Linked DNA regions of Mytilus edulis. The protein of the gene in region 1 purifies or fractionates together with the protein of each later gene. This does not show direct contact. Links are inferred from orthologs where the notes say so. Each region holds a gene or a part of one and is shown on either strand. Other genes may lie near its edges. The genes, in order: tyrosine-protein kinase CSK-like and leupaxin-like.

Region 1 (7,748 bases):
AGCTTTTCCCTGTATTCACTATTTTCGGAGTAGGGTATATGTGGTATTGCTCCTTTTTTCTTGTGTATATATATATTATAAGTGGCTAAATGATAAGTGTGATGAGCAAACATCCAGTTCTATTTCTCTTTAGTGTATTAATATTGTAATTCCAGAAAGGGGACCCGTAGGAAATGAACAACTATGTCCATAAAATGGGCTCACAAGGAGCATAATATAATATAATAATAATGTTATTCTTTTACAAATATAATAAACATTACAGTATGAATAGTTAAAAACACAAATAAGAAACAACAGTTTTCATTTATTAGTATATATATAAAACCTTCGTCTCAGACACACCTCTAGAAAGTAACAAAAAGAATACTGTGAGTAGGCTAAATATATGTTAAAAAGTCTATATATGCTGATAAATTGTTGAAAATCACAATTATACGGACTTTTTTCTAAACGCTTTCAGATATTGGGCTGATTTTTGGTATGTAAGTTACTCGTGATGAGTTACAGATCAACAATAGGTTTCGTTCCGCTCGGCTAATTTTTGCTGTAATTTCGCCGGGGCTTTGAACTTTGATAAATATTTGAAAATCACAATTATACGGACCATTTTTCTAAAGGCTTTCAGATATTGGGTTGATTTTTGGTAAACATGATGAGTTACAGATCAAGTATAAGTTTCTTTCCGCTCCACTAATTTTTGCCAAAATTAAGGGTTTACAACTTTGAAAAATGTTGAAAAGTCAGTTATATGGACATTTTTCTATACGCCTCCAGATTTTGAGCTGATTTTTCATATGTGACACTACCATCATGGTTGTGTCCACATGTATTATTGAAATTGTAGATTTTTCTCAACTTTTTGAGACGGGGCCATTCGTGTCGCTTTGACACATCTAGTTAAAGATAAGTTGATGAAAGAGTTTTTAAAGATAATTTGGTTAAAGAGCTTTTAAAGATAATTTGGTAAAAGAGTTTTTAAAGATAATTTGGTAAATGAGTTTTTAAAGATAATTTTGGCCATGTTTTAAATAGATTTTGCCTATTCATATATAGAAAGATACATTATCATCTTCGCTAGCTATACGATCCGGTCTCCCGGCTAATATGTTCCGACACACTTTGTAGACGATACTTAGTTTACAAATAAAACATTCACTTTTTAAAATTCCTAACCATGTTGAAATAAAACAACAGTTTTAAAAGAACTTTATTCGTGTTATTTACCCAAAAAAAGAAATATGAGGCAGGCATTTATACGGGAACTTCTTAGGAAGAAAGATAAGAAGTTAGCAATCCTTTGATACTTTACTTTCCGCTATATAGATCATGTTCTCTCGCTAAATAATTCTAAATTTGGTGTCAATGTTGAACGCATCTATTCCATCCAACTAGAGATAAAGGATACAACGGATACAATTAAGTCTGCCTCATATCTTAACTGACAATTAGAAATTGACAATGAGGGTCGGCTGAAAACAAAATTTTACGACAAAAGAGAAGATTTCAGCTTCCCAATTGTAAACTTTCCATTTCTATGTAGCAACATTCCAACAGCGCCTGCATACGGAGTATATATCTCCCAATTGATACGACGTTCCCAGGCTTGTATTTCCTACCATGATTTCCTTGATAAAGGGTTGCTGCTCACAAGGATGCTATCAAACCAAGCCTGAGTTCCAAATGGTAACGTTGAAATCATCCCTTCGTAAATTTTACGGACTGCATCACGAATTGGTTGACCGTTATAAAATTACAGTTTCACTGTTATATCGCATAAAGTCCTTATGTCATTACTATAATCGCCTTCCCTTTTCACGAATGTGACCTACCGAATTTTACTATTTACCGATGTTGGAATAACATGAGCAACACGACGGGTGCTACATGTGAGCAGAATCTGCTTATCCTTCCGATACACCTGAGATCACCCCCAGTTTTTGGAAGGGTTCGTGTTGCTTAGTCTTTAGGTTTTTTTATGTTGTGTCTTGTGTACTTTCATTTGTCTGATTGGCTTTTTTCTCATCACTTGGCGTCCGTCGTCCGTCGTCGTTAACTTTTATAAAAATCTTCTCCTCTAAAACTACTGCGCCAAATTTAACCAAACTTGGCCACAATCATCATTTGGGATCTAGTTTAAAAAATGTGTCCGGTGACTCGGCCAACCAACCAAGATGGCCGCCATGACTAAAAATAGAACATAGGGGTAAAATACAGTTTTTGGCTTATAACTCAAAAACCAAAGCATTTAAACCAAATATGACATGGGGGTAAAATTGTTTATCAGGTGAAGATCTCTGCCGTGAAATTTTTAGATGAATTGGACAACCCATTGTTAGGTTGATGCCCCTGAATTTGTAATTTTAAGGAAATTTTGCTGTTTTTGCTTATTATCTTGAATATTATTATAGATAGAGATAAACTGTAAACAGCAATAATGTTCAGCAAAGTAAGATTTACGAATAAGTCAACATGACCAAAATGGTCAGTTGACCTCTTTAGGAGTTATTGCCCTTTATAGTCAATTTTTAATCATTTTTCGTAAATCTTTATACATGTAGTAATCTTTTAGAAAAATCTTCTCTGAAACTACTGGGCCGAATTAAACCAAACTTGGCCATAATCATCATTGGGGTATCTAGTTTAACCAAGATGGCCGCCATGGCTAAAAATAAAACATATGAGTAAAATGCAGTTTTTTGGCTTATAACTCAAAAAGCAAAGCATTTAGAGCAAATCTGACAGGAAGTAAAATTGTTTATCATGTAAAGATCTATCTGCCCTGGAATTTTCAGATGAATCAGCTAACCAATTGTTAGGTTGCTGCCCCTGAATTGGTAATTGTAAGATAATTTTGCTCTTTTTGGTTATTACCTTGAATTCTATAATAGATAGAGATAAACTGTAAACAGCGTACAGCAAAGTAAGACCTAAAAATAAGTCAACACGACCAAAATAGTCAATTGACCCTAAGGAGTTATTGCCCTTCATAGTCAATTTTTTACAATTTTCATAAAATTTGTAGATTTTCACTAACATTTTCCACTGAAACTACTGGGCAAAGTTCATTATAGATAGAGATAATTGTAAGCAGCAAGAATGTTCAGTAAAGTAAGATCTAAAAAACACATCACCACCACCAAAACACAATTTTGTCATGAATCCATCTGAGTCCTTTGTTGACCAAGGTGAACGACACAGGCTCTTTAGAGCCTCTAGTTTAGCCATGGCGTTGCCAGTTTTTTTTTTTTTTGATCTATGAGTTTGACTGTCCCTCTGGTATTTTTCACCCCTCTTCTTGAAAAACATAACTCAACTCTGTTATTTAAAATATCACATAAATACTATCCAACAAAGAATCTTTGACCAGGCTTATCAAATTATGAATTGTTCTATCAATAAATGTGAAAAAATAAATTTCTTTTGTCATACTAAAAGAATTAGAAAAAGGCCCACATTTATTGATATATGTAAACTCAAAACTGACCGATCAGTTTTCAGTAAATTTAAACTAAGTGCCCATTCCCCAGCAATTGAAAGAGGGCGTTATACCAACATTGAAAGAAGTAAACGCATTTGCTTATCCTGTAACAGACAAAGAATTGAGGATGAATATCATTTCTTCTCAATCTGTCTATGCTATACATCATTGAGGGATACCTATATACAAAATATTAATAAAAATCTTAATTTTAATCTTATTATTGATATTTAAAATAAATTGCAGTCCGCTAAAACACTGAAGCATTTGACTGCAATTTTAAATAGCAGTCTACCAGTCATTAAAAAAATCACCATAAAGTATATTAATGATTGTTTTTTTTATTGAGAACATTTGTATAACATGTATTTCTTTTAATATGCAACCTAATTTTTGTTTGTGTTCTTTTTTCTAATTGTTCATGAACATTAATAATGTGTTAACTGTTGATCTTTATAGTCTTTTTTCTTCGCTGTCACTCTAATATAATTATAATCAATTTAACTATTGTCAGTTTATTGTCTTAATTTTGTATGCCATAACCATTTAATGTAAATGTGTTTGTGCTAATAAATATTGTCTATTTAAAACAAGCATGTTACATCACTTTTGTCTATTGGGTATACCTATATATTATATTTGTTGTTCTATATGTATTTTTTAATCATAAAATATCGTACTTACATTTGTTTTAACAAGATAGTCGGATCAATTGGACCCGATGATAGACAATTGTGTGCGACTGTAAACAATTTATCAGTGCTATGTGAAAACATTTGAAATTTTCGCTATAGTATATTGTCCTCCCTGTATCATATTTTGATATTGCATGCCTTTAAAAATGCCACAATCACCATTCCAATCATTACATACGTCGTCGATGAGAAATTAAAGCAATGTATATACATGTATAATATTGTATAATCATATAAAATCATTATTATAAAAAAAACTAAATTATAAAACGTCATTTTGTTCCGTGATATTATAAAAGTGTTGCCTTTTCCGACTTTTATCCAAAATATCAGATGATGTATTTAAGTCTAGCGAAGTTAAATGTCTATGATAACAGTTATATTGTGCGATTTGACTTTAATAATCTATTTTAAAAATGCTTCCTTGTTTGACAGACGGTTTTATTTCCCACAAGGAAGTCAATTCCCTCATTCATTTCGGGAAATATGTCTTAGTGGTAAGTATTTGATGGTATCAGAGATTTTTTAAACAGAAAAGCGACAATTTGTTAACCTCTGACTTGAGCTGCGATCTGGGATCAAAACTTATATTAGTTACAGTTGCAACTAATACTGTAGTGTAATTTGAGTTTCATGTCTCATGATTTCATTGTAATTTCAAAAAAAAAGAAAACAATTGACTTTTTCAGTACACGTCTATCTTGATGTTGGGTTTAAAAAATAGTTTCGACATTAAGTGTGAGGATTCAGTTTACAAAAAGGAGCTACATCCATTTCTGAATTATTTGTTTTATATATGCCAAATATGGTTTTGGTAACATTTTTTTAAATTAGAGTTATCTAACTTTTAAACATAGAGGGCGATTTTTGTTGAAAGAAAAATGGCAGCCACTTTTTGCTTCCTGTTTGATAAAAAAATGAAGAAATTGCTTTTCTTTTACAATTAGGTAATTATAAATCCCACATTGACGAAAATAAAGTAGATTTTTAATATTTTTTAAATCAAAGTATTAAGCTACCATATTGCTACATTATTGATGTAGGTCAGACATTACGGTATAACATTGAAGTACTGACTACTGTTTTTGATCGCCCTTTTGCCGTAAATAATAGGTGAATTAAAATGATCTATGTAATTCTGACTAATCTCGTAAACATTTAAAGATCTATACTCTCTTTATGTTTGTAACTCTTTGATGTAAATGGCAGTTTTCTGTCAAATGTCAATGACAAATTTTGTTTACTTTCCAAACCATGCCATGGCTATGCATAACACAAATTTCTGTAAAATTATAGTGCAGATATGATAAAACACTTTCAAGTTAAGTCATTCTCTGCAAATGTTTGTCAATTAGACACGCCTTTATGACATCTTTTTACCAGATAGAGGGGACCACTGCTGACCATGAACCATGCACTAATCACAATTCCCTTATGACAGCAGTGCTGATTATCAATTACCAATAAATTTGTGCAATATTATATACATGTAGCATCATTTGTTGTCAACTGCTCGCTCAACATGTAGAGGGAGTGACAATGCACTGCAAGAATGATGTCCCCTACGTATACATTTGTACATCCAAAGTTAATAACAGAAATACAACAAGCTCAAAAGTGTATTATTGTATGAGGCAGGTGTTTAATCTTGTGAAAGAGGACCAAGTCTTATCGCATTTGCATTGTATAGTTGTCATTATTCTTTTTTGGTTAAACGGATTATAAAATTATAAATTTGAGGGAAATTGTTTCACTTACAAATGTACAACATGACAGCACCTGTTAAAAGAGCAGGGATGGGATAATATGCAAGAACTACTGTAAGAAAAAAAAGTTCACAATTTTGAATTCTGACATTAAAATATTGATTTTTTGACTAATTCTCATCTAATAAAGTTGAGAAGTACGTTTAAAATATTTCCTTCTATTCGGTTGTATTTATTTTACTTTAATAACTTATGTCAGGAAAATTCTATTTTACTTGTAGTTGCCTTTATAGTCCTATCACTTTAATACGACTATGCATTCCATTTTGACCGCCTAAGTTGTCTACTGGTAATCTGTTTGTGATTGAGATGCACATTGATAGAAAAAAACAGCAAATAGATAATAAAAAAGTAATAATTTGCAAATTAAGCATGTTTAGTAAAAAGAAATATCAGAAATCAAAAACAAAAAGAAAATACTGTTCCATTGTTTTAGGACTTTTCATACATTTAAAGCTTTATTTAAAAATTCAATTTCAAAACTTGACCACATTACAAATACCTTTGTATGATGATTCCTGTGTACTTCTTATATGAGGCAAATCAATAAATGGGTCATTCAAAATGGTATAATCAGTAAATCTGTAGCGTTTTCATTTTTACAACAGCAAATGCATATTGATGTTAAAAAATAAAGATAACAACTTTACCTCATTAGTTAAAAAGTAAAATCATAATAGTTATCTGAAGAATTCATCTTTTTTAGACCATGCAAATTATCAGGATTTTTATCAAATTCGGTTTGTCTTGAATTTGCTACTGAATACATGTATTTTATTTTATTATTGCATTTTTGTCATTTAAGACTAAAAGGTGATTTGAATTTTTGCGATATGAAGACAAATCCTGTTTGATTCATAAAAGTTTTAATTATTTCGATTATAAAACTTCTTGTCGCATTTTTCACAATAATAAAAAACATCACAATAATTTCTGAATTTATTTGTACAGTATTTAATTTTGGGGATTTAGTGGTTGCCACACGGTTTAGACTTCTCCATGACTTCTTGATGTTTTTTTTCTCTCTGTCTCTGTCTCTCTCTATCTCTAAACTGAGAACTTCTTGGCATGGGTTACTGAGCTCCAGAGATAGCACTGAGCATAAACATGAAATAATCTTCTGTGGAAGGCAACATATTTAAATGGATATCATTTTAATTACTCTGGAAATAACCATTCTACTCAATTCTTTGACTTTAAATAAATACTAAAAATGTCAACACGATGATGAATTACATGTATAAACATGATGTCAGAGTGAAATCTGATTAAATAGGGCCACCCTTAAAAAATTGTTTGTTTGGCATTGCCGACCCACACTATCAGCAGGTGGGTAGGTAAGTAGGGATTTTTTTTTTTTTTACATTTAAAAGCTTTATACATGTAAATCATGAAGTCTCTAGACCAATGTTGTCTAAAGCATTGCAGCATTGTTGTGTGTACATGCTGGTGGTTTCTTTGAACGGGGTCAACCGTCAATGTCACATTCTACATCATATGGATAATTTCATGTAAGACAGTCAGTTTTGTTGGCAGAGTTAACCAAAGGACCCAGAAAAAAACACAGAACTGAGGCAGGAAACTGACAAATTAACCATATAAAATGTACAATGTATGACGTGAAAATTGAACTTTTATTGTGGGACTGCCAATTGAACAGAGGCCTGATGTCACATCTTGTGGTCACAGTTTGGTAAAATTACCATAAGTTAAATGGCTCAACCACTACGGCTCCTTGTACAAATGGACAAAGATTTAAAACTTTTATTGTTTGCTTTGGTTTTATAAACATCACTTTCTACACCG
Region 2 (7,854 bases), on another chromosome or scaffold:
GATGACATCATACCATTGTACGATCCCAAATTTTTTTGGCAGTCATATACAAATCTGATAATGTACAGAAAAAACAAATAGTTACTATTTTGGTTTCTGACTATTGTCTCAAACTCAATATCTGGTATAACCAGATGCCCTGCAGGGCACAGCTTTAAACGACCGCAGAGGTCAAACCCTGAACAGTTGGGGCAAGTATGGGCACAATATTTTAGCTTGATACAGCTCTGAATTTGGACTGTGATTAAATAGTTGACACAACATAGGTTTCTGACACAGAATGAATGTTGTCTGAGAACTTAAACTTAAAATTTTTAAATTGGACATTTACCTATTATGGTCAAATATCCAAAATCTTTTGGCCCCTAATTCCTAAACTGTTGAGACTAAAACTCCCAAAATCAATCCCAACCTTCCTTTTGTGGTCATAGACCTTATGTTAAAATTTCATAGATTTCTGTTTACTTATACTCAAGTTATTGTGTGAAAACCAAGAAAAATGCTTCTTTGGGCCCTTTTTGGCCCCTAATTCCTTAACTGTTGGGACCAAAACACCCAAAATCAATCCCAACCTTCCTTTTATGGTCATAAACCTTGTGTTTAAATTTCATATTTACTATTTACTTTTACTAAAGTTAGGGTGGGTAAACCAAATGTCTTCAGACGACGATGATAATGACACGACGCCAATGTGATACCAAAAAATTTTCAATTTTTGCGGTCATATAAAAACAGGGAAATAAATCTATTTTTTCTAAAAAAAATTCCTAGAATAGCCTCCCTTTACACACTTTATTTTTATTATTAAGAAATTCCTCCATAGTCTATAACCCTCTTTTACACATATCTTACTCCATTGTGTTGCATAACTCTTCTATCTGTATTATGCATAATGTAGCATAGTAATAAGTTCTTCATGATGAACTTTTAGTTTCAAGGTATTTAAATTTTTGCCCAAAACAGAAATGAGTTGATGATGATGGATCGATGGCTTTTTTTCAGGTATGATTTGAAATCAAATTTGTAATTATATATGATTACCTATATATATATAGCTAAAAGTATCATGAATATAATGTGGAATTTCTCTCTGTTTATGTACAGGTTGCATAAGGCCTCATATAATCCTGGTACCTTTGATAACTATTTACACCACTGGGTCGATGCCACTGCTGGTGGACGTTTCGTCCTCGAGGGTATCACCAGCCCAGTAGTCAACACTTAGGTGTTGACATGAATATCAATAATGTGGTCATTTTTATAAATTTTCTGTTTACCAAACTTTGAAATTTTTGAAAAACTAAGGATTTTCTTATTCCAGGCATAGATTACCTTAGCCGTATTTGGCACAACTTTTTGGAATTTTGGATCCTCAATGCTCTTCAACTTTGTACTTGTTTGGCTTTATAAATATTTTGATATGAGTGTCACTGATGAGTCTTATGTAGACGAAACGCGCGTGTGGCGTACTAAATTATAATCCTGGTACCTTTGATAACTAATTACATAACTATGGATTTCCTTATTTTCAAAATACAATAAAAAAAAAACAGTTCCAATGCCCCATGCTTTACAAATAGTTTATCTATCCAGGGAATAAGGGCAATGAATTTTAATTAATAACTTTTAAAGAGTTGAAGGCTTCAGAGCAAATGATTTCAGTTATAATTAATTTTCAAGGGGCAAAATATTTGATCAGACTTTAATTTCAAAAGTGTCAAAGACTTTGCTGATATAAACCAATGATGTTAGTTTCATAAAATTCTGGCAGTATTTGTACACATGAGAACTCTGACAATGCAATTTTCCATATACATGTAATCATTATTTTGAAGGGGCCTGCATGACTCTTTTAAAAATAATTGATCCATACTTATTTTCCAACTTTTCAACTTTAGACATTGCTGATATAAACCTATGATAATATAAAGTTTCATAAAAATTTGAAAAGAATGAAACACTCAAACAGGCATGGGAATGCTAGCAATGCAATTTTCTATATAATCAATGTTTTTGTGGGGCATTATACTCTTTTAAAAATTATTGATCAGCACCATGATTTTCAAAGTTGTCCAAATCATTGCTACATGTAATATTTATTTATGATATAAGTTTCACAAAAATCTGGTAAGAATTGTACAAATTAGAGCAACAATGCAATTTTTCATGTAATTGATGTTTCCATGGAGCATAACTCTTTTAAATATGTCTCTCTGTGATTAATGTAAGATAACTCTGGTCAATTTTCCGAACATTTTATCATTATGGGGAGATAACTGCAATTTACCCCGATGTTATATTTTTTAACCACAGCACCATGATGGTGGCCATGTTTTTGACAAAATAAAACACAAACTTTATTCTAGATATCATTTAGCTTAAGTTTGGTTGTAATTGGTTTTGTAGTTTCAGAGGAGAAGATTTTTCAAAGTTAGAAAACATGATAAACGAAATGTGTAAAATTGTCCTTAAAGGTGCAATCAAATAATTTTTTTTTTTTTAAAAAAAGGGTTTCATTGACAATTTTTACTTATTTGTAAAGCTTACTTTGCTGAACATTTTTGCTGTTTACAGTTTATCTTTATCATTAAAAATATTCAAGATAACGACCCAAAACTGCAAAATTTCCTTAAAATTACCAATTTAGTGGCAGCAACCCAACAATGGTTCAGTATTTTAGTGATTTTACTTTTTGAAAATTTCATGGCTGATAGAACTTAGCTTCATGCACAAATTGACCCAATGCAAGATTTGCTCTAAATGCATTTGTTTTTCAGATATATATAAGCCAAAAGCAGTATTTTAACCCTATGTTCTATTTTTAGCTATCATATGGCCATTGCAGCCATGTTTTTTGATGAAACAGAAAATAAAACATATATATACATTTACATTGACATAGACCTACATTGTACTTTAATTATTCTTGATACCCTAGGGATCATTCAGCTTGAGTTTGGTAGGAATTGGTTCAGTAGTTTCAGAAGAGATGATGTTTGGAATAGTTTACACCAGACTGATGACGACTGACTTCAAGTTCCTTTGGAACGGTGATCTAAAAATGGAACAAAATTATAAACAGACAATAGACAATATTTTATTCGCACAAACACATTTACATTAAATGGTTATGGCATACAAAATTAAGACAATAAACTGACAATAGTAAAATTGATTATAATTATATTAGAGTGACAGTAGTATTCACAGCGAAGAAGAAAAAGGCTATAACGAAATATCAACAGTTAACACATTGTTAATGTTCATGAACAATTAAAAAAAAGAACACAAACAAAAATTAGGTTGCATATTAAAATAAGTTATACAGATGTTCTTAATAAAAGACAATCATTGATATACTTTATGGTGATTTTTATAATGACTTAATTGTAGACTGCTATTTAAAAGTACAGTCAAATGATTTAGTGTTATAGTGGACTGCAATTTAATAAAATTGAAATTAAGATTTTTATTAATATTTTGTATATAGGTATCCCTTAATGATTTATAGCATGGACAGATTGAGAAGAAATGGTATTCATCCTCAATTTCTTGTCTGTTACAGGATAAGCAAATGCGTTTACTTCTTTCAATGTTGGTATAACGCCCTCTTTCAATTGCTAAGGGAATGCGCACTTAAGTTTAAATTTACTGAAAACTGATCGGTCGGTTTTGAATTTACATATATCAATATATGGGGGCCTTTTTCTAATTCTTTTAGTATGACAAAAGAAATTTAATTTTTCACATTTATTGATAGAACAATTCATATTTTGATAAGCCTGGTCATAGATTCTTTGTTGGATACTATTTATGTGATATTTTAAATTAAAAGTATTAAAAGTGAGATGACCAAAACCTAATTTATTTAACCAGTCTTTTACAATGTTAACCCATTTACTTGTTTTCTCTACATTATTATATATTTTATGGACTAAAGTGTTAGGCGAGTTTAAATGAAAAATTCTAAATATTGGGATGTAAAAATATAAAGACTATAGAATGACAGACAAAAAAGATAAATAACATAATTATAGAAACAACCTAAAAATTGAAGAATACTGTACAGATAGTGGGATATGAAGTACCTCCCCACCCACATCAGATTCACATATATATATATAACTGAGCAGAAGACCCACTAATTATAATCACTATAAATATTGGGAGAATCAGCACTACCAACACTAACTTTATTTTTTTATCTCTTCTAATGAAGATAAAGGTATACAGAAAGGTGAGACCAAAAAGGAAGTCTTCAAAAAAATAAATGCCTCGTAATTACCATCCTGGTTTTCTCATACACCCCCCTCTTTAAGATTTTCTCTCGTTATAAACAGTGTGTTTTTTTCTATACATCTCTCGTATGTTTGTGGTTCAAAACTCAGTACTTAGGAATCGTATTACCTGCTTATAGATTCTGAGTTGAAAACGTTACTTTAAAGATCTTATTTCGTTTGTTTCAGCACTTAAATCTGTCAAATTATATTGAAATCTGACACTTCAAAATAGAACTTTCGATGATTCATCCGAATCAAAACGAAACAGTAATTTTTACCAGAAGACATTGTGGTTGGAAGAATTAAAGTTGCACATTCTTCGATCTACACTCTTCTATATTTCCAAATATTTATATTCTAATCTTCTACAGTTTGGTGTAGGATCGGTTAGTGTTTACCTGTTCTAGTCAGGTAAACCGGAAGTGGGGATTTCATCAAGGAGGAAAATCGAAGGATTCTCTAAGAAAAACTTATTTTGACGAAACAATTAGAAATGTAGATAGTGCTTCCCTTCCAAATTGACTCTAATGAATCAAAATATCTTTACTTCACATTTTTTCCAATCTTTAAAGAAATTTGTGACCACTTTATAAAACCGGAAGTACCACAAGTGTCACTCTCAAGTCTTTCCACCGAAAAGTTTGTAGTTGATGCAAAGCTACAATCAGAGAGTAATGGATGATTTAGGTAAGACAAGCAGATGTATAACTGGTTAATTTTATTTGTGTGTAACTTTACTTTGACTATTTAGATTGGTAATGCATAGCAACATCATGAACAGAGATAATGATAGAAGTTCATAAAGTTCTATACAACTAATCATGCAAATAGGATGGGCACATTCATAGGCACTTGTTTCTCTCCTTTTGCAGGTCTATTATCCATATATATATTGATAGTCAACCCTTCCCATGCCGGATTTATCAATTGGAGTCAAAATTGGCGTACTTTCATGTCGAATAACGGTGCTAAATAAGTTAACAGTAATTTTTGTGCATGACTATAAGAAGTACACTGTATTTGAGTTCAGGCGAAAAAAAATCAACTGATTTTGAGGAATGAAGTCATTTTTTATCAAAGATATAAACATTAAAGATAATTATTTGAGATGAATCACAATACACCATGTACACCTTATCGCCAATTGTCCTCCATTACTGGACATGACACAGGCTCCCGTAAAATTTTGATGTCATAATACAAAATATCTGACGCCACAATTGAAAAGTGATTGTTGTATGACGTCAATAGTTCAAACTGCACAGATTCTCGGGTCAGCCATTAACAGGGATAAGGTGTTAAAGGATATTTTGACAAGTCACAGAAAAAATTGAATAATTTGATGCTAACAGTAGTCTAAAATAACCGTTTGATGCCTGACAGTGAAGAGCTTTACTACCCTAATGGACAGAAACCAGTGCTTGTGGGCACATTTCAAGAAATGAGATAATGTTAATGTTTTTTATATACGTAGATCTAGATCTACATGTACACAAATACATGTATATAGCATAGATGCCAACCATTACGATTTTTCCGTAGTTTTTCCGATTTTGCAATAAAAACTACCGGTACGCTATTACGGTCGAAGTTGAATAGTATACGGATTCCAAATCATCGCCGTTCAATTTTATAAAACGCAGATTTTTATCATTACTTTTCTGTTCTGGTCTGGTTTTTAGAAAACGCCAATGTAATGCTTCCGGTTTCTCGGGAGTTATCAACCTATTGTTGGGAACTAACTGACTTCCTAAGAGGCAAACTTGCATTTTATGAAGAAGCTATCCCCCTTTATTGACTTCTCCTTGACAAAACGAAAATGTACGAGTCGAGAACATCTGAACAATAAATGAATGGAATACATACTACAAACAACATGTTGAATGGCAAATTTTAGTGCACAACATTTTGCAACCACTCGTCAGTAATTTTTATTGGTAAATGCAAGTTTATGAATGATTACTGAAAACTTTTCAAAAATACGGAAAATTTGATAGTTTGTTACTGATTGTGTCGAATGGGGTTGGCATCTATGATATAGTTTTGACAGGTTTGGAAAGATAATCATAATTAATACATGTAGGTTAGGGTTAGTGTTCTTCATAGGTCTAGATATGATCAAGGATCCGGAAATTTTTTCACCTAATTTCGGTCATTTTCATATAACTTAAAAGTTGGCGCCCCTTTTAAAAAAATGATTGTCAAAATCACATTACTGCAAGAGACTCGTGATGTCACTGATGAGTATGCTCATACTCGTAGCTTCAACAAACTGTTGCATCGCATTTACTTCATGATTTATCCTACCATTTTCCTAAAATCGATCAAGAGCAATTAAGGGAAGGCAACAGTTTAAAAATAAAATGATTTTAATGACTCAAAACGATAATTTTCTCAGTCATCGCTTAGGTTTCTTTCGATTCTGAAGTCGAAATTCAAACCGGATGTAATGCGACAATACTAAAACGAACAATTCCGGGCTCATTTTCGGGATTAGGTTTGTTTATCAAATTCACAGGAAATCATCGGCTTTTTAATATTTACGAAGAATATCAATGAAAATAGTTGCACTTGCTTTATTTAGCATGAAATTATTTTAAATTTACGATTTAGTGTTAAATCTGCGGAAGAGAATTTCAAGCATGCGTATTATATAGTAAACAAAGCACGTGTGTTAGTAGTGAAAAAATATTTTTTTCTACGTAAAATAAATCAAGTTTTAATTTAATTTTAAATCATAATTGACAATTGTCTTAGCTGTTAAGTAATTAAAGAATGAAGCCAGTTTGTATGGAATTTTTATTACTTTATAATATTTGTTCGGAGCTTGTGATTAATAACCAGGTGTGAATTAAAAACACAGGTAAAGAGATAAGCGATCATTAGCCAATAGCTGCCCGAGGCATTACTATAGTTATTAGGAGGATTATAACACTTTACTGGAGTGGCAGTTTAATTACAGGAAATCGATAACAAACCAAAAATATGTTCAAAATGGCGATTTTGAAACTTGATCTCAACGAAATGACCGAAATTATTACTGTTGAAAAATAAAATTTGACCTAAATCCCAATTAAAAGTTTAGGACATTAAACTTTAAGTTTAGGACAAGACTGGCAAATATGACCGTTTCCGGACCCTTGGATATGATGTTGCTATTTGTATCACCTTATGAATATTTTCATCAGGGTTGCAGTGTGTAAATTCAGGCCTCGACAATAAGTGAATAACGCTTGTCCGATTGTCCGGTACCAGAGGGAAAAAAGGTCGGACAAGTAAAAGCTGTATCAAGCTTGTCCGTCGGGACAAGTACAATTATTCTGCAGAAAATACATTCATTCCAACTTTGATGAGCAAAGTAATTACAAACAAGAAACAAGAAAATAAATATTAATTTGACATGTTTCTGTATTCTGTTTATTCAAATTAAATGCAAAACCTTTTTCTTCAACATGTACATGTTTACTTGCAATTGATAATTTTTAACTGGTTCTTTGTCAGGTACTTTTTAAAGGGTAAAAGGTATACTATTCTTTGAATCCAGTCTTACTGATCCGAATCAATGATGTGCTTT

Evidence for each region.
Region 2: the proteins of tyrosine-protein kinase CSK-like (region 1) and leupaxin-like purify together in Homo sapiens (affinity purification with mass spectrometry; 4 studies listed by BioGRID and IntAct, with this or other methods). This does not show direct contact. The link is inferred for Mytilus edulis from reciprocal best matches to the Homo sapiens genes CSK and PXN.

Annotation. Positions count from the first base shown.
Region 1 is NC_092347.1:54,622,692-54,630,439, reverse strand, and holds the start of tyrosine-protein kinase CSK-like, read left to right. Parts: upstream 1-4,544; 5' UTR 4,545-4,673; intron 4,674-5,014; exon of another isoform or gene 5,015-5,123; intron 5,124-7,748. UniProt on the Homo sapiens protein: Non-receptor tyrosine-protein kinase that plays an important role in the regulation of cell growth, differentiation, migration and immune response.
Region 2 is NC_092349.1:36,798,118-36,805,971, forward strand, and holds the start of leupaxin-like, read left to right. Parts: upstream 1-4,665; 5' UTR 4,666-4,930; coding exon 4,931-4,967; intron 4,968-7,854. UniProt on the Homo sapiens protein: Cytoskeletal protein involved in actin-membrane attachment at sites of cell adhesion to the extracellular matrix (focal adhesion). Recruits other proteins such as TRIM15 to focal adhesion.